Drosophila melanogaster: one gene and its partners. The protein of the gene in region 1 interacts with the protein of each later gene in a pairwise test. Each region holds a gene or a part of one and is shown in the gene's direction. Other genes may lie near its edges.

What was found.
Region 2: the proteins of CAP (region 1) and CG10680 interact in a two-hybrid assay, tested with the Drosophila melanogaster proteins (one large-scale study listed by BioGRID).
Region 3: the proteins of CAP (region 1) and twz interact in a two-hybrid assay, tested with the Drosophila melanogaster proteins (one large-scale study listed by BioGRID).
Region 4: the proteins of CAP (region 1) and CG44251 interact in a two-hybrid assay, tested with the Drosophila melanogaster proteins (one large-scale study listed by BioGRID).

The regions. Positions count from the first base shown.
Region 1 is NT_033778.4:10,276,927-10,281,739, forward strand, and holds the start of CAP (CAP), read left to right. Parts: upstream 1-1,809; 5' UTR 1,810-2,414; coding exon 2,415-4,813.
Region 2 is NT_033779.5:19,962,598-19,966,255, forward strand, and holds CG10680 (uncharacterized protein), read left to right. Parts: upstream 1-1,538; 5' UTR 1,539-1,633; coding exon 1,634-1,684; exon of another isoform or gene 1,685-1,741; coding exon 1,742-1,768; intron 1,769-1,828; coding exon 1,829-1,984; intron 1,985-2,046; coding exon 2,047-2,178; intron 2,179-2,242; coding exon 2,243-2,413; intron 2,414-2,465; coding exon 2,466-2,684; 3' UTR 2,685-3,105; downstream 3,106-3,658. Other genes in the region: CG16772 (uncharacterized protein), read left to right, coding at 128-157, 229-1,134; OS9 (Olfactory-specific 9), read right to left, coding at 3,221-3,658.
Region 3 is NT_033778.4:21,573,025-21,577,954, reverse strand, and holds the start of twz (tiwaz), read left to right. Parts: upstream 1-1,919; 5' UTR 1,920-1,973; intron 1,974-4,930. UniProt on the Drosophila melanogaster protein: Functions with the transcription factor TfAP-2 to regulate octopamine neuronal signaling pathways that control behaviors such as male aggression, male mating, and the initiation of feeding.
Region 4 is NT_033778.4:12,947,798-12,954,280, reverse strand, and holds CG44251 (uncharacterized protein), read left to right. Parts: upstream 1-1,987; 5' UTR 1,988-2,104; coding exon 2,105-2,108; intron 2,109-2,402; coding exon of another isoform or gene 2,403-2,435; intron 2,436-2,931; coding exon of another isoform or gene 2,932-3,788; exon of another isoform or gene 3,789-3,877; intron 3,878-4,071; exon of another isoform or gene 4,072-4,128; intron 4,129-4,194; coding exon 4,195-5,627; 3' UTR 5,628-5,933; downstream 5,934-6,483. Other genes in the region: CG13321 (uncharacterized protein), read right to left, coding at 1-323, 618-624; CG44250 (uncharacterized protein), read left to right, coding at 2,105-2,108, 2,403-2,435, 2,932-3,788.

The DNA.
Region 1 (4,813 bases):
TTATATCTCAATCCGCTTTATTGTTTTATCTAAGGGAAGATAAAAACTCTGTAAAGAAATTCCCAAGCGAGAAATGAATCACAGATCTTCTGCCAAGCGCATTTGTCGAATCAAATCTTCATGAAAGGCTTCTTTTGATGACCCCTCTATCCATCTTTAGATATCACAGTTCAATCTTTAGTAATTTCCCAAGAAGTTATCTTGCTAGCTGCATTTGATTCCACAAAAACCACTTTCATTGAAAGCAAAACTTTTCGCACACAACTCACGTTCTTTATCAAAAATGCAAAATTTATCAGCGATAGCCCAGAAAAGATAACTAAAATGTGTGCTGTTCTACAGCAAATTGGGCGAGGCGTAGAAATCAATTTCAAATTTGTTGATATTACGGGGCAAGAAAACTGAAAATAGAAGCCGCTACAATGGATCCACAGATATAGATAGCGGCTACTTGGATGTTCGTCGTACGTCAGTGATTCAGGCAACTTGGTGGGGCCCAAACGAAATCCAAACGGAAACCGAAACCAATTGAGAATACACATTAAGTGAGTGGGTTTCTGAGGAGGGGAAAGCGATCGTTTAGTATTCCCTAATTGGTATACCCGTGTCTGTCACACTGTGCAGAAATTGCATAATGCCCGGGCCAAAACCACCACATCACGTGTCTGGTTCGTCTGGCACCTGACAGACCCGCGAAGATACTTCAGTTCGGATTGGTTCTGGTCGGAGGAAGTTAATGGAGATGATGGGGCTGTGGGCCAGACAGAACAAGAGAAATTGAAAGCCATTAAGTACCTTTAAAAATAAAAGCGGAATACTACTAACCGCATGGCCCACTGGGATGATACATGGGAGAGCTATACATACATATATGCGCGTGGATATATGTTGCTTCAATTATTCAAGAGTACACCGAAAACAGAGACTTGTGACCACAAAAAGCAAAGAAATTACGCACGAAAAATATCTTTAAAATGCCATAAGTTGTATATAGATACACAGCCAGCGCAGACTCATCAGATACACAAGCACACACATCGGCCAGAAGATACATATAAGCAAACTCGAACTGTGGCAAACTATTTCCGTATTGAGTTCTCTTCTTAATGCCCTGCATTGAGCCATTTTGGGTATATTGCACGAAAGTTTTTTAGATCAACCACTTAAAAAATTAAACAATTTAAGTGGTTGGAAAACGGTTTATCTGATTTCATTTGACCTCTAAATTCTTTATTTTCTCTTAATGTCTTACATCTTTCATTCCTGAGCATTTATCAACCGAAATTCAAGACAAAAATGTGTTTGTGACATTTAAAAAAATTTATTTTCGAAAGCATATATTCGTTAGCTTAAATTCCACAAACAAATTATGTACGTGTTCCAAAAACATTTTCTAATATTTATGAATGTGCCGAATATATTTTCGAGCCGTGCGTTTCTTTTCTGCTCATCTCGGATTTTATGAGTTTGTTTGGCTTGTGAAAATTGCATTGACCTAGAAGTCATATTGTTGTTTTTTTTTTCGGTCTCTTTGGTATTTTGATGTCTTTGGAATACCCTGCATTCTGATTCTGATTCTGTTTTGGTTTTGCACATTTCTCTCCCGCTCTCCCGTACGACTTTCTGTTTTCTACGTACATGTATGTATTGTGAACATGAGCATCGTTATGAATTCCCCGATTTTCCTTTTTGTGTGTATATTTTCAAATACTTGCCACTGTGCATCCGAATCGGGCTGTCTGTAAAAATGTGTGTGAGTGGGAGACTGGGGAGCTAGCTCCCGGCTGAGATCGTGGAAAGCCCACGGCCCATTCCTTGTCCGTCGGTCGCCAGCGCCACGAGGAACGGGAAGCGCGATCTTAAAAAATATTTAAAAAACTTTTCACCCCGTGTCCCCGTTGCTCAAATCGAACATACCCCCAAAACGAGAGCGAAAGTTTAGTATTCAAAACGCAATTTAATTTGGCGAAAAAATATCGAGGCAATCGGAGACAAAGGCGCGATCTCGGCGGCGAAAAATAAACCTAAAAACATAACGATTTCGGACGCGTGCCAGGCGGTGGGCGGTGGGCGGGGCGGCGTAGACGCCGGCAGCGGCAGCGACGTCGCTGTTTTATTTTTTTATTTTCTTTTTTTTTTCGATTTTGCCGGCTGTCGTCGCGAGCAGAATGCCGCCGGCTCTCGGTTCTGGTTCTCAGTTCAGTTCTGTTTGAGTTTCTGGCGACGAGTGACACACACAGAGGGAACTAGAAATAAACGACACCGAAAAACGAAACAACACTTAGTTGTACTGTAGATTCTGGCTGATTAAGAAACACGAAACACGAAGTACTCACTTACACACAAAAACACATATATATCTCACACACAAGGAAAACTGCATTAGTTCAGATCGAGCGAAAGTGCCGTAGACGATGCCCAATAACCGCAATCGTAATCGCAATCGCAATCGCAACAAACGCAATCGAAACCAAAATCAAAATCAGAATCCGAGCCAAAACCAAAACGAAAACCATCAGCAGCAGGCAGAAGGGGCGGAGGATCGGGAGGAGCAGCAGGATTTCCAAACTCAGATCGCAGTAGCGCAATCTTCTTCCTTCGTAGATGATAATGGAAATTCTGGCAGCGTTTCAAATGGGCCAACGGAAAACAGCGAAGAGGTGACGAACACTCTTGAGAAAACCGAAAAAAAAGAAGAAATATTCGAGCAACCAGCAACAGTCATCCAAAAAGAAGCAGATTCAGACGCAGAAATGGGTGCCAAAAACTCAAAACATCGCAAGGAAAAGTCCGATAAGCAGGCGTCTAATGGAAAATCTGAAGAGCAGGTGCGTCCACCTCCCACCATTATAAGAAGGCCACCCGGTAGCCCCCGGCAAGCCAAGGTCATAGTTCATCGAATTGTGAGGGAAGAGGACACGGCCAATGGCAAAGCTCAATCTCCAGAGCCACCCAAAGCCGTGGAATCTAAGGAGCAGCACATGGAGGTCGAGGATTCAAAGAAGGAGAAACCTGAAGCTCAGCAGGAGATTGAAACTAAGGAAGAACGGGAAAATGAACCGAGTCCAAAGGAACTTCCTGAATCTAGTCATCTTTCGGAGGACGCACAGCAGAAACATGTCGAAGTTGAAGAGAATCAACAAGTTTATGATGAAGTGGACTACTCAAAGGATGAGACCACTGACAATAATCCACAGCAAGAGCAACACGATTCAAAGGAACCGGAGCAATATGTGTTGCAACTCGAAAAGGCAATGGAATTTGTGGAAAATGCACATCAGCAACACGTTGCTGCCGTGCAAAGTTATCAAAAACAGAGAGACACTGAGCAAAATGCACAGCAGCAGGAGCAAAATGAAGCACAGCACCTACAGGAATCAACTAAAGCGCATCAGCAAAATATTGCAGTTCCACAAATCCTTGTAGATCCGAAGAAGAGAGAAGAGGGCCTCGCACAGCAACTGCATCATGATGTGAAAGAGGAACCCATTTTGAATAACGCCCAACAGCAAAATGATGACACTGCACCGAAATCCCCAAAGGAAGTAACAATAAAAGTTCAGTTTCAAACAGAAGATCCTTATTCCCAGCAGCCTCCTCCACAGAAGCCCACCTCCAAGGTGATTATCCACCAGATACACGTGGAAACCACCGACGAAGAGCAAAATGCCAAGCCCACTTTCGAGGAGGTTAGCAGCACTACCGGTTCTCTGGCCGGAACCCTATCTCCACCACCTCGTTATTTGGTGGAGTCGCCGAAGAACGTGTCAAGTGGCCAGTTTTCGAACTTCTCGCGCAATGTGCAAATCCAGGAAATGGAACTGAACAGCGACTTCAGCTCCGGGGAATTCAATTCCCTGCAGTCGCCGCTGGTATGCGAAGTAGACTCGGAATCAGAGGGATCGGTAGTCTTGGGACCGGAGCGATCGCCGTCGGATCAGCAGGTGCCGTCCAGCAGCCGAGTAGAGCAGCATGAGCAGGTGCGCCAGAAACGTGCCCAGTATCGGAACGCTTTGGAATCGCACTTCATGCCGCAGTTGCTCAATCCCCGCTATCTGGACAGCATCCTGGAGGAGAATGAATGGAGAAACTCCACCGCCTCCTCTGGCGGAAGCGATCAGACGGGGATCCGCACTCCCAAGCTAAACGAGACCTTTCCCAGGAGTCAGTTGGACTTTAGTCGCAGACACAAGCGTAGGGAGGAGGCACCGTCGCCTCTTAAGCTCGAAACCAAGCTGCTGGAGGAGTCAACCGATCTGGAGAGCTGCACCCGACTGCAGAGCGCCCTGTCTCCACAGTCTGAAGATGCGGAGCTAGTTTACCTAAGCTCCTCGGCCTCCAGCAGCGTCTCTGACCTCATGGAACTAGAACTAGAGCAGGCTGCCGCCTTGGCGGAGAGAGCCCTCGTAGACTTGGATACGGATGCCAGTCGGTTGATTGCTCGGCCGGATGATGAGATGAGCAGCACTAGTACCACTACTGCAGACAGGAGCGAGACGGAAGCGGAAACGGAAACGGAGACGGAGAGAGAGGGCGAGCAGAGTCGCGAGAGCACACCTGTTAACGCCAACCCGACGCTCGCCAGTTCGCAGTCTTCGCTGCTGAGCGCCGCAACGCCGACGCCGACGCCGACGCCCACTCCCGCCGATCGAGAACAATTAGCAAAAGATACAAATGTATCTGGTGGATCGACTGTTAGTTTCGGGGCAGCATCGCCGCTAGCGGCCACGCGCGAGGAGTTCGTTCGCAATATGGACAAAGTGCGCGAGTTGATCGAGATGACGCGGCGCGAACAGGAGCAAGGTGAACTACC
Region 2 (3,658 bases), on another chromosome or scaffold:
GTCTGTAATTGTTGGCTTACCGATTTCCATAATGGTGGGCGATTCTGGAGCTATATAAGTCAGCTATGGCCGGCAGAGAACAATCAGTTTTCGCTTGGCCCTTGCTAGTTGAACTCAGTCGGTTGGGATGTTCATCAAGTTGCTTCTAATTAGCCAGGTTGGTGCCAGATCTTGGCCAGGACAAAATGGCTCGAACTATGATTAACTTAACATACATTTTAATTCTAGCTGCTGGCGCTGAGTTACGCTCAGTTGTCGCTCGACGAGGCTAAAAAGCAAATCGATGCCTCGCTTTACAGCGAAGAGGAGACTACCGATGATACGCATCTGCCGGAGCCCCACCTGCCCCCCCAATATCAGCCTCATCATCCCCACAAGAAGGTGACCACCACCACTCCCGAGCCGGAAACCACAACTCCAAAGCCAGAAACCACCACGAAGCCCGCAATAGAGCAGGAGGGTGAGGCCACCGCTGCTCCCGATGACGGACTGGGTCAACTGGATGATGGCTTGCAACAAAACAATGATGGATCTGCGCTTCCAGAGTCCACCACTCCGGAACCGGAAACCACGACCCCTACGACGACCACCACCACAACGCCAAAGCCCCATAAGCATGAGCCCCACTTTCATCCCCATTCTTATCCGCATCCTCACCCCTATCCCTACCCCATTCAGTATCCCTACCCCCATCCAGGAGTGATATTCTCTGCCGCGGGACCTAAGCTTACTCCTCCATCGACCACACCGCCCACTGCCAAAGATGCGGACAAGGAATCGCCGGAGCTGTCTGGATATCCCTCCTATCCGACCTTCAGATCACCGTACTCGCCCTACCAACCCCAGGTGTTCCCTCAGCCTCGTAACTGGCCCAGCTTCCCAGGATACGGACCTCCCAGTCCCGGTTTCGGATACCCCCACAACCACAATCACGATCACGAAGAAGACTCCGGCGAAGATAAGCCCAAGGACAAGTCTGGTGAAAAGGATAAGGACGAGGATGTGGCTCTGAAGCCACCAGGATTTAGCTACCCGCAGGTCTATTTGATTCCCCGAAGACCAGTGATCTCTGTGCCCAGCTTTCCGCGTCCAGGAGGCGGATATGGTTCGCCCTACGGCTACGGACTCTACTAACACTCTCCGATAAATACTGTGAAAAATCTCCGAGTCCAGATAGTCAATAATATCTTAGTTTTATTTCAATCTTGAAATGTACTTCCTAACACAATAAACAACTTTTAGATTATATTTTCATGAGTTTTTAATATTTGCATATAATATTTAATGCTTTCGATCGTGTAAATCTGAGTACAAGGTTCTTCACTGAATGTGGGACTGCTTGGAGTTTTCTTTCGGTGCATTAAGAACTAGTAAGTAAGTTAAAGGCTCCTAGATTCGGGAAAATGATAATTGATGATTTGCGCATATGAGATTGAGTTATGGGCTTCTGATTTCCCTATCGTGTAATCCCCAGGCTGATAACCCCGGGCCCCGACGCTCTCACCTTGGTGATTTCCAGTCGAACGGGTTGGGATCGTGGTTGCATTTAATTGCAGCGCATTCCACCCAGTCAACTCATAGTTCTGTCGATCGTCGGAAGTTCGAGACGTGAGTGTCAGTCGAGATCTGCGAGATGTTGCCGCTCCAATTCGTTTTGCTGGGCTGTCTGTTCATCGCTCAGGGGGTAACTATTCATCGGTTTGTTCCACAATTTAGGCTTCAATGAGTTCTATATTTTCAGATATGCCACACTCTGCCGGATCCCAAGGTAAGTTTGCTAGCAAACAATTTAGATAGTATCTTCTTTGCAATATTCCATAATCCACAGCTAAGGGTGCCTCGTGAAACTATCAACATTCCCACGCATCTCTTCAAGCCAGTGAGTCCGAAATCGAGCAACAAACCTATTTCTAATAGATCATCCTTAAATGGCGGAAACAGCTCTGCCCTGGCCGAAGCAAATAACGATGTCGAGTTTCTAGAGGTGAGTCTCATCCAATACACTTAATATAAATGGAAATAAATATATATTTATTATCCTTGAAGAGATCTAGCGGTGAAGTGGAGGAGGTGACCGACACCTACGAAGAGGAGGACGTTCCACTCCGACCTATCCCCTTCCAACCTCGACCGTTTTATCCTCAGATCCCTCCCCGATCCAACGGTTTCCCCATTCGTGTAAGTGTTTTTATAAGTAGTTACACATAGTATTACAATCCGATTGACGATTGAACTATTTCAGCAACCCAACTATGACAATGCATTCCAAACCGATTACAATGTGGGTCCCAGAGGCAGCGGCTTCGACAACAGACCTTTTCCCAGTTCCCCGGATTTCCGTGGCAGAGGCATTCGACCAATTCCTGACTCCCCATTCCGCAATCAAAACTTAGGAACCTTTGTATCTCGACCGGTAATCTTGTGCAATCGTTTTCCTAACTAAAAAACTAATACACCTTCTCCAGGTACCTATGCCATCCAGTGGTTCCATTATCCCCCTTATCGCCGGTGGTTCCAGTATTCCGACTGGTAGAAGTGGTCCCCTTGGTTCCGGGGGCTCTTCTAACAACTTTTACCGGAGCGAATCCTATAGCTACACATCGGATGGAAGAGGACCTCCCCAAATCGAGCGGGATGTGTTCGACTCGCGGGATGGATTTGGATCATCTTATCGCAACTTTTAACACCTTTCCTAAGAGAAGCTGATGAATGAAAGTTCCGAGTTCTCAAAAACAACTAGTTAAGGCTGCTAGAGATTATACTGACTTGTCTGTGTGTAATGTAAAGATTCTTGGCATTACAAATAATCAGTTATTTTACTTTCCGCACGGTTTATTTATCAGACTAAATAACAATTGTATTGAATAGAAAGTCAGTAAAACTTTCAAAGCTATTGAAACCTGACAGCTTACAAATCTAAAAAAGGTATATTAAGGTATTCAATACCTTTGTAAAATGAATTCCACATTTCTTACGTCATACCTGCACTAAGTAGTAAACACTTACTAGCGTATTTATTATATGCTCATTGATTGTTAAATCAGCTGCAATATGTAATCAAATTTTAGCTTCCGGCGAGCGTGCTAATACAAAACATGAACTCTGGACTACTGGTTTTGATATTTGCAAGGCAGTTTCTGGAAATAATATATACGTTCGGACTATGTATCTGTAGTTATTTGGTTTAAACTTAAATGTACTTGAAACATGATATGTTTATTCAAATGAAATCAGAGTTGGTTAACTTGTCCAGCTTCTCATAGACATCCTTTTCGTTCTTAAAGTCATTAAACTGCTTGACCATCGCCGCGTTCCTGGCCAACCGACTGTCGGACCATGTGCTCATGTATTTCTCCACCTTCTGCTCTACGATTTTCAGAGTAGTTTCCAAGTTTCTTTCCAGGATCTGCTCCAGGTCCTCAACTCCGTGCTGTATGAATAGCTGAACGACAACCTCGTCAGCTTCCGATTCGAATTCTTTGCTGCCTGCAATCGAAATGATGCTTTCCAGTTCCTCAAGAGCATCCTCCAGTCTGTTCAGCTCGAATGAATCATCGAAGTCCAGGGTGTCCAAGGCCGCGACGAAGTCCTTAAGCTCCCTGAGAATGTGTCCCTTGGAGTTTGGTGGTAAAATGAGTTCGGCCTCGTCGATGACCAA
Region 3 (4,930 bases), about 11 Mb from region 1:
CCGCTTACGCACACTTGCACACTCACACACACACGCACACGAATGGCGGCGGAAGTAAGGACAACAACAACAGCAGAAGGCCAGGATGTGGCCGCCTATTAAGTGATTTTAACACTTTGCGCATGAAAATTGCAAAAAGGCAACGGCGCGGCGTTGATAATTATCCCTTAATTGCTTAATGAGCGGCACTTGAGCAGCGCCGTCGACAGAAGCGACGTAAGTTTAATTAATGCCAATTTAATTACCACGCCACACACACACACGCACACACACATGAAAGTGGACGCATTTATGGGCTACTACTTACCGTTGTGTGGCACTTAAAAGCCGCACTTACCGCATAGAATTCTCTCACACTTTGTAAGTGAATTAAAGGCTTACTTGTTGTATATCTTAATCAATCGGATATGTTAAAAATATACAAGTTTTTCATAGCTAATTAGTATTATACAAATATTTAAAGTCTTGAATGCTAGGTATTCATGCAAATTGCTTTTCTTTCTACCATTTGAAATGCAATTTTCCAAAAATTCAAATATCTCGAAAATCACCATTAATAAACACTAATTGCTCCCACATATCTTGTTTATCTAAGTGAGCACTGGTTTATAGTTTCGGCCAGAGCTTCGGCCGACTTGTTTCTGGCCTCGAAGTTGGCCGAATGTCTCTATTAGCCAGGGCCATAAGTTATTTGGTTGTTTGGCTTGATTAATGTTCACCTGCCTGTGTGTTCCGAGGAAAACTTAAATCGAACGATGGACTCGGAAGGGGGACTTACTATTCGTAGCAGCCATTCGGACCTCGCTTTGTAGATTGTCAGTGGCAGCTTAGTTTTCGCTCAACCCTTTTCCATTGCCTGCCGGCCGGGGGCAATCTCTTCTTCCAGTGATCTAATCTTGTTATTGCCCTGACCGCCGTCTCCGGTTCCAGGCCGGCATACCCATAAAGACATACACATATAAACATGGACGAGAGTGATTTAGCTGATGTGCCAATTCAATTATTTCTACCTACATAGGATTTTTCCACATGGCACCGGCAAAACATATAAACACCGATAAATGCCATACATACAACAAGCCATGTGGCATATAAAATAGTGAATGTAATTTTATTCACATGTCTGGCCGCAGGCCAATCCGCTTTGCCCGCCGGCACCAAATTGCACAGCAACAGCAGCAACATCAGCCACCCCGGAACCACACGACGCACCTCTCCGCATCTCGGGTGTCGGTCTTTCTTCGGTGTATATATAAATATGTATATATATATATATATATATATGCCACATTATATGCTGGGTACAGGAAGGGGAAAGGGGAGCGGAGCGGACCAGAGAGCTGAAATCCATCATTGGCGCATGGCCCCGGGTCACATTTGGGTTGAAATATTATAATTACAAGCGAACGCCCGCGGGCAAGGCGAGGAGGAAGGTGAACCGAAGCTGGAGCTCCGGCGTCGAACATTGGCATCGCATCGCGAGCTTAGCTTGGCTAACAACCACACTGGAACAAAAGTCGGCTGCTTAGATAGGAAATTAAAGTATTTCACTGAGAGCAAATTTGAAAGAGTTGAGACCAACTGCTGTCCAAGATGGACTGCCAGTTACAAACAGACGCTTTTAGATAGTTTTTTCTTTCAGTGCATGGAAGGGGGTTGGAGGGAACGGGCCAGTTGGACGGGCGATCGAAGTCGCCTGCTGCGGATATGGATACTTAGTTGTGGTGGTTGTGTTTACGTTGCGGCTGATAACATCCCGTTTTGCTGCTGCCGCCGTCGCTGCTGCGCCAGATGTTGCTGCTGCTGCTGCTGCTGCTGCTGCGGCTGGCGTCGTGCCCCATGTTGCATGCAACACGCTCGACGGCACTCGGCACTTAGACCCCAACGAGCCCCCCCAAAACAGTCTTTTCTCAACGGTGGTTCAGTGTGTTTGTGCCGATGGTGTTTGCTTTTGCCTTCGACAACGGCAGCAGGTGAATAACAGTGTCTCTGGCTATTGCCACATGCTTTTTTGCGTTTGTTTTCGCCCAGCCTGGTAACTTGTTGCACGGCACGTGTTTGGACAACTGGCCGGGTGTCCACATTAGTGGGCGGGGCAGCTGCAGCGCAGGATAACAGAAAACAGAGATGAGTGGCATATAATTTAAGAACAACACCGAGTGCCGGTGCCGTTTGCCTATAATTACCCACAACCAGCTACCAACTAACTGGCCAAAGAATCACAGTTTTTTTTTTGTCCCCCAAAATTCATCTACATACATACCAATGCACAAAAATACACATACATACATATGTACAAAGTCCGGCAGCAGGTGACAAGCAGTGTGAAAAAGCTGGGCGCTGGTACCCTCATTATATGCAAAACGCTGCGTCAGGGCCGCCAGCCACTCAAACTTAACTTATTTTTAACTTGCATATTTTTGCCCATTCTACGGCATTACCTCTGCCACTGCCTCAGCCAGTGCCTCTGCCTCTGAATGTCCTTAGGCCATCTTAGTTGCATGTTCGAGCAATCCTTTCCGTTCCGTTCGCTCGTTCCACCCCAAGAAGCTGGAAATAAAGAACTGGTCCTCTCCCATTCATAACTCGCGGCTATATCTTCTTTTGCGTTATATTTCCCTCATTCTGCTTGTCTCTGGGTATCAACTGTCAGTTTTCGAGCTAAAAACGCCGCCGGCTTAGTTTGTAAATCATTAAAATTATGCACACACACACACACATGCCTCACATCCGCACACACTTATTATGTACAATATGCTAGACTGTGTGTGTGTGTGTGTGTTGGGTTTGGTTGGAGAAGTTGGCCAAACTGCATAGGAATCATTATGCAGTTAATGACAAATGTCACGCATTGCTAATGACAAAAGGATGTCGGCAATCGACTCCAGAAGAGGCCCCTTTCCGTTCCACTTTTGCCCCCTCAATTGAAAGGCACTCTCATTTGCGAGAGTCCAGCTTTCACCGACCCCAAGAAATTGGTAAACAAACTAATAAACATAAAGCAACAAATACAATTCAGCACAATTTACCAAATACGTTGCATGAATAAATATTAATCCTGTGTTAAACAACCATATTTTATTTAGTCACTCCATCATATATATTTATTTTTCCTTTTGGGCAGATTATAGTTTGTTTAATGCATTTTATACCCACCTTTTTGTATGGGCTTTAAGGCACTTAAGTATTGCATTAGAATTAAATGGTGCATTAAAAGTATTTTGGGTCAAACTGAAACAATTGAAATAATGTCAACTGCATTATGGCATTTCGATCGAAACATATTTTTAAATCAAAGCCAAATCCTTTAGAATATAACAAATTCCCAAAAACGTAAGCTTAGCATAAATGGCATAATATGAAGGACCAAAAGGATATTCAGTGGTTATTCTTCTATTGATAATTTAATCAATTTAAAGGACAGCGAGTGATAAAAAGGACACAGCTTTAAAAGCTAAACAAACACCTCATTTTGGCACGCATTGCCTGTAAAATGATTACCATTCAAATGTTAATGTAAATGTTGTGCCACATATGGATGAATTGATGGGTGAATGGGTGGATGGGTGGATATTTTGATAGGTGGATGGGTGGATGGGTGGACGGATGGATGCCCGAATTGCTGTGATGGTTGATATGTGGTCGCGCTTGCTGCCACTGCCGCTGCAGTTCGGTCGTGCGTTAAAAATTTAACACGAATTTCAGGCTGCGGCGGCAAAAATGGCATCATTAAGTAAAAGCCCCGCGGCCAGACATTGTGAATTTTATGAGCCTTTTCATATATATGCTTGTGTATATATGGGTATGCTATATATGTTTTTGTTGCTTCCTCGCTGGGTATCGTTAATAATAAAAAATATATGTTCGCTTGTATGTGTGCGCACCCATCCACACATATACATATATACATACTCGTATATTTTAAAGCCCATCATACACATTTGCCATTTGCCCAGCCTTGTGATGATGAGTGTGTGCTCACATAAATAATAGTAATAATAAAAAATCACAATAATGATGATGCTGATGCTGATGGTGTTGGCGGTCGCGGGTGGCGTAAAAAAATCTGCGGAAATTCTCAGCATATGCGATGGCATTTAAATGTTTGTGTTTTCCCATTCAGCATTCAGTATGATATTGATTGACAAGCAAATGCACAAGCGTTGAATAAATATGCAGGCGAGTGGGCGGTATGCCCGCGGGAGGGCGTGGCGAGCGGGCTACTTTAAAAAGCCATCAACAAATAATTACAAACGAGCGCGTAGGAAGTGTATAAATGTCGACGCTGATTTCTGAGCTGATCCGCGGATTCTCTTTTACTACAATATATATCTTTCTATATATATCTATATATATGTATATACATATGTACTTGATGTATGTGACTCCTTGCACCCATATACACCTACCCCCCACTTCGCCCGCCCACCCCACTGCACTGCCCCCAAGCGATCCAAACAATAAAGCATAAAGCGCGCCGCACACATTTTGTCGAATTATTTTGTTGGCAGTCCGCTGGCGGCTAGCTGCAGCAAATTGGCTTGAAATATTGGTATTGCCATATGTATGAGCTTGTGTATGAGTGACTGAATACGTACGACTCTGCCTCTCTCTCTGTGTACGTGTGTATGTGTGTGTGTGCGTGAGCTTGTGATTAAAAAAATATTTAAAATGGCAAAAACGCAAAGCGACGTCAAAATAAAGAAGCCCGCTACCCCATTTTGCCGCTTGAAACAATAAAAGCCCCCCCCCAACAACCCCCCACAGCATTTCCCATTCCATTTGAGTGAGTGAAATGAGCGATAAAATTGCAACAGTTTCCACTCGTCGTACGCATTTGCTGCGATAAAGGATGAAAAATTGAAATGCCACTGCTCACGCGAAACAATTAAAATTTGACATGTTTTATTGAACACTTTAATGCCGGTAT
Region 4 (6,483 bases), 2.7 Mb from region 1:
CTGGAAGTAACCACGGCCCACGTACAGGGGCTCACCCTCGCCAGTCTGGCCCACTTGGATGGCATGGGGCGGGACAGATCCACCACTGGACGGGATCCAGGAGAAGTGATCACCGACAAGGACCTCGAAGTCATGCTTGCTGATCTCCTGACCGCCCCATGGCACATAGGCCTGCTGCTTGCCGGGCACCACCTTCGCTGGCAGCATCTCTCCATTGTGGTAGGCACGGCCCACAAAGATGGGATCCTGGTCGGAGTCGTGGCCAGCTAGGATGGCTCCTGGGGGCAGGGATCCGTAAACGTTGGTGCTAATCCAGGTGTAGTCTGAGGGCGAATAAAATATATATATAGAGCAAGGTCAGAGGCGATAAGTTAACTTGGGCCAACGAGGGCCAACTGTACACCATTAATCAGCCACAGTAGAGGTTTTTTGTCTTTTATTTGTCAGGGTGTAGAATCGCTGGATCTATGGAAAGCTACCAAAGCTCCAAGGGATTTCGGCTGTCAGGTGCGCGGAGTATCGATGACACTTGCCCACTTGTCACGACTAATTGCGGCACTATGCTTTCGTTTTCGCCAGAATTATCTTAGTCACTAACTTTGCACTTCAGTTCTCACCTCCCATGTTGTATTTGTGTGCTTTTTTTGTATGTTGATTTAGGTCTGGAACGTGATGTTATATACTCGCTGGCTCCGCTATGTTTGGGCTGACTTCAACGACTGGTCGCTACCCGCACATCGGTTGCGCCTTAAAAGCTGTTGTTTCCGCTTATCAGTTCGGCAAGTTAGCCGGCAGTGATAAGATATCTTAGTCACACTGCTCTGAACCGTTCGATTGTGTGTGTTCCACAAAGGTATCCTCATGTCGTAGAGGGTGTTCGTCATTGCGACCAACTGACAGGTGTGTCAGAATGTATATTGGATGATTTTGTTTGGTAAAAACAATTTAAATTCTGGGTTAAACAGGAAGCGCAACCAAAATTACTCAATCGATCTTGTGCATGAATATTTGTTTTTGTTTTTGCGGGTTTTATCTATAAGCAGTTGGCTACGAATCTTATCGCCGGTAGTCAAAAATAAACTTCATCAATAAGTTCGTAAAAGATTATATGTATGAGGGTGGCTGTCCATGGATCAACTATAAGTTCAGGAATGCTTTTCTAGAACAAAAATAAGAACCAACATGTAAACAGTTACCTAACCTTCTTGTGGATTATTCAAATCATAAACCTAATAATTGAGAAACCTTTGGAAAACTAACTGTAACTGTTGTAAAGTTACAGACACTTGTTTGGTCTAAAGATGAGTCAATTGCGATATAAAGTTATTGATATCGTTACCGCTGAGTCACATATGTATATTTATACTTTTTAATGCCTTTTATGCCTTACATAAATGCATACATACATATGTCCTTTGAAATCAGTTTGTTTGTTATTACAAAGAAATTATTAATTAAAAGAGATAAAATAAGCACATACATTACACTAAAGGTTTAAAGATTATTTTTAATATTTCAGTAGGTAAAAAATAATTCAAAATGAATGATCCTTTTTCTATTAAAAGTACAAATTTTCGACATGCTTATCGCCCCTTCAACGGGGGGGATTTTTTGAGCATGGGCGCTTCTGGCAGGCGTCATATTGTTTATGGGTCTATTTAATTGGGGTTCCACCTGTTGAGAGGGCACAACAATAACATTTAAAACAATGTCCACATGCTTCGATTTACTTGTTTTTTTCTTTTACTCCCAAAAGTACCGCCTGTTTGGGCCAATGATTCATTTTCGATCGATAAATGGAATGCTTTTCTGGAAATGGAGCTTTCGAGACTGGAAGTTAAAATTAGTGATAGCAAAGGTCCCAATATCAACTGCACTTCTTTTTTTATATATGTACAAATGCGAATTGAAAGATAAAAGCTCGCCGATAAGAAGCAGTGACGAATCGCTCTGGTTCGGTTTTTAAACGTCAGGCTTTTGCAAACCAATAGTTTAGTGAAAAGACAAACTTTGGTCAGTTCAGACGCATTTTGGAGTCAGAAGAACGCAAGTGAATAAAAGAAACTATTTTTCATAGGAATAACTTATCAACAATTAACGCACAATGGGTAAGTAGAATGAGTAACCTCTGATAAGTGCAACCAAAAAAAAAAAAATGATTTTGCAATGCCAAAGTCTAATGAAATAAGTGTAATTTACCTTCAAGATCATCAAAATCAAAAAATATATTGTTGCATATTAGCTTAATTAAATTCAATTTCCCAATTACGGGCGAAGAAATCCGCAAGTGCTGACCAATTCTGTTGGTATTGCGATTTTTTTCTCTGTGCACATTAGCCGGAAGAAAAGCAAAGAGCATTGAGTGACTTCTACAGTTCTCCGCCTTTCTTTGCTCTTTCCAGGCGCCGTGCAGCCAGGAGGAGTTGTGACCGTTGGTAGGACGAGTGCAGTGAGCCCAGGGTGAAACCCCTACGCCTCTGTGAAACCCCAAATCCCATTTGATCCCCGCCCCCAGACCACCTAGGCCACCCAAAACCACCCAAACCCGCAAAACCGTACAGCAAGCCAAATATGTACACGGAGAAAAAGCTATGAGAGTATGAGTATAGAGTGAATCATTATATTGTACATTGTACTTAATTTTTAATCAAAACCGTATCCATTTAATAATGCAGCTTCGGGATGATAAATGTTTACCTTTTGAAAAAGTACGAAGTTAGTAAATCTTAATCTTTTTTTTTTTAATAACAATATATAATATCTATCAAGACAATATTAATATAACAGTGATTTAAATCAATCAAGTAGAGTTTTAAGATATTTCCAATGGAAAGGACACGAAACTTACTCTCCGGTTTTCGCTCTGTGTACAGATAGGTTATCTTATCGCGTGGTATCAAACTTATCGCCCTACTGCCTTTCTCCTTGCAGACAACACCTGGGTGCACTCGTCTCCATACAGCCCCCTGCCCCCATACGCGGTTATCGGTGGCCATGACTCGGACCGCACGCCCATCTATGTGGGTCGATCCTTTCACGAAGGCGAGAATCTTCCCGCCAAGGTCGTACCGAGCAAGGGATGCGCCTATGTGGCCTACGGTGGTGCGGAGCACACGAAGACGCACTACGAGGTGCTGGTGGGTCAGGGATTTGCCTGGGTGCCCAGTTCCAGCGGTGGAGTGCCACCGAATGCGGTGAGGAGCGGAACGACGCGAACGGGCGAGCCGCTCTATGTGGGACGCGGACATCATGCCGGAAGCTTGACTGTGGGCAAAGTTCATCCATCGCACGGCTGCCTATACATTCCATTTGGCGGCCAGGAGGTGCGCATCAACACCTACGAGGTGCTCATCAAGCAGCAGCACGACGTCTGGGTACCGGCCTCGCCCAGTTACACTCCTCCGGGCGCAGTGATCGCCGGACACGACTCCGACCGTACTCCCATTTACGCCGGAAGGGCAATGCACGAGGGTGAAATGCTGCCTGCCAAGGTGGTGCCGAGCAAGGGAACCGCCTACGTTTGCTTCGGCGGATACGAATTCCAGAAGCCCAGCTACGAGGTGCTCACTGGCTACGGATATGTATGGATGAATTGCGGCCACAGCATTCCACCAAACGCCGTAACCACGGGTCGTGCTCGCAATGGAGAGCTGCTGTACTATGGGCGAGGACACTACCAGGGCAGTTTGACACCGGGTCTGATCTCGGCCAGCCAGCGTTGCCTCTATATTCCGTACGGAGGTCGGGAGATTCGCATCAACTCGTACGAGATTCTCTGCAGACAATAAGCTAAAGGAACGGAACACTACAGATACCATATGCATTTAGTCTAGATCAAACTGTTATCGCAGCCAAATAAACTGATTGTTAATACCGGAAGAAATCTGTGGGCATTTTGTGTTCCTTCTATTTTTAAAATACTTATCCCTGCAAATGTATTATACTGATATGGCCAAAATGGACTGTCGGATTAGACAGGTTTTACAAAATTTATGAGCTACGATAGTGGCTTGCTATGAAGGTCATTTCCTTATATTCTACCTTTCTTCCACATTATTTACTTTTAAAGAAATTTAAAATTACTACATCATTTTTTTGCATGTCTATAGATGAAATAGCATATTATTGGTTAGTCCTTTATGATAAACTAATCACTTCTGAATAAGCAAATAACAAAATGCATCTTTCTTTCAGCCTACAAGTGGGTTCAATCCTCGGCCTACTCCTCCCTTCCCGAGGAGGCAGTGGTGGGCGGCAACGATGAGGACGGCGCCATGATATACGTGGGCAGGGCGGAGCACGAGGGCGATATGTTGGTCTGCAAGGTGGTGCCGAGCAAGCAACTGGGATTCATTTCGCAGCGAGGAGAGGCACTGCCCAAGGACATCTTCGAGGTGCTGTGCGGTCAGAATCTGGTGTGGATCAAGTGCTACGATCATGTGATTCCGGAGAATGCTGTACTCTGTGGACGCACATCGCTGGATCAGCCGGTTTACATTGGTCGTGGTCATTATGAGGGTCATCTGATTATCGGCAAAATCTCCTCTGTCCATCGAGCTTTGTTCATCGCTTTTCGCGGTGCCGAACGTCGTCTGGATTCCTATGAGATTTTGGTGGAGGAGCGCAGAGTGGTTCCTGGCTGGCAGCTGCCGCCACCACCTCCTCCACTAGAGGAGCCGGAAAAGTGTCCACTATCGCCGCCGCCACCACCTTCTCCACCGGCAATGGCGCCGCCACTGCCGGCCAAACCATATCCATATCCGGATTTGGCTGCGATGCCATTTCCTGACAGGCCTCCGGCCTACACACCCACTCCGGATCCCATGCCACCCGTTGGAGGTGTGATGGTGATGCCGAGTCCAACCCCACCACCGCCGGCGGGAGGAGTGCTGGTCATGCCACGACCACCACCACCACCACCGCCTGCAGGTGGTGTGTTGGTCATGCCACCTCCTCCTCCATCGTTCACTCCAGCTGAGGTGGCGCCACCGCCATCATTTGTTCCCGCAGAGGTGACCGCAGTATCCGTTCCCGTGGCACCATCGTTTACACCCGCTTCCACCTATAATCCCTACGAGGCGGGATGCTCGTCCTACACTCCGGCCGAGTGTGCTGCTCCTTCGGCATATGACGCCTACGGCTATGGCAACAACTATGACGTTTGGGTATCAGCCGAACCGGGCTATTATTACTCTCCCGATGCCGTGATTGGAGGTCATGACAGCAACATGGAGCAATTGCTGGTTTGCCGGGCCTACTACCGTGGTGTCCATGTTCCTGGCAAGGCCATTCCCAGCCAGGGATGTGGCTACATAGCCCACGGGGGTCGTGAAATCATTGAGCCATCGTACCAAATGCTGGTGGGCAAGGGCAAATACCACTGGGTGCCATCCTACGGCGGAAACGTTCCACCTGGAGCAGTTGTGGCCGGAACGACACCTGGCGGAGCACCACTCTACATTGGACGGGGTCACTACTGCGGCAGCTTGACACCCGGTGTAATTGAGACCTACAACCGATGCCTCCAGATCCCATTCGGTGGCCAAGAGATCCGTCTGAGCAACTATGAAGTTCTTGTTAGGAGCGATATTTACCACGGACAGCAGGCCATCCGCCTGGTTTACTGAAGACATATTTAATCTGGAAAATCCGAGAGCAGCTAGGCCATGAAAACCCATAAACAAATTTTTTGTTCCTATAAATTATTCCAGGCATATCTTTGTATATTGTGAAAAACTACATTTTAATTATTAATTACCTATATTTATATACGCACTCAATATTAAATGCATCTAAGCCAAATGCAAAATGTGAAACTACCTCTACACACATTATATTTAACCGACATGTTTATTTACTAGTTAAGATACTTATGCACTAATTATATTGACACACTTTTAAAGTTCGTTGTGTAATAAATGTTTTATTTATTTAATGACGCCTTTGGATTTAATCATTTGTTATGGTTTGGGTTTCTTATTACGTCGGTTCTACCACGTGTAAAATAAGTTAGTAATTATACTATGACAAACAAAGACTCTTTAACATTTCCATAAACGCTTGAACAAAATCGTAAAGAACAAAGTTCTTCCGCCTTAACATAGAAATTACAATTAGAAGATGGTAAGTAAACGATTTGCGGGCACGAGAGTTTAAGGTCAAAATAATATTGTATCACGTAGAATAGTAAACTTGGCTTAATGTGCGGAATTAAAAACGCTGTATTCCCAGCTTAGCAAAGAACCCCATATGCTTGAAAACCTCCTTGAACCCACACGGGTTTTAACGATTAGACAAATCTGGCATTTCCCACAACTATCCGTTATTGGCCAACACAAGATTTCTTAAACGATTCTGGTTTTTCGACGTCAACTCGGCGCACAAGATGAAAGAGAAGAAAGAGAAAGGCGAAACAGGTAAGAGTAAATATGAGCGAATGCGTCATAATGCGCACTCTGGAAATACACCGTCAGAAAAACTTGA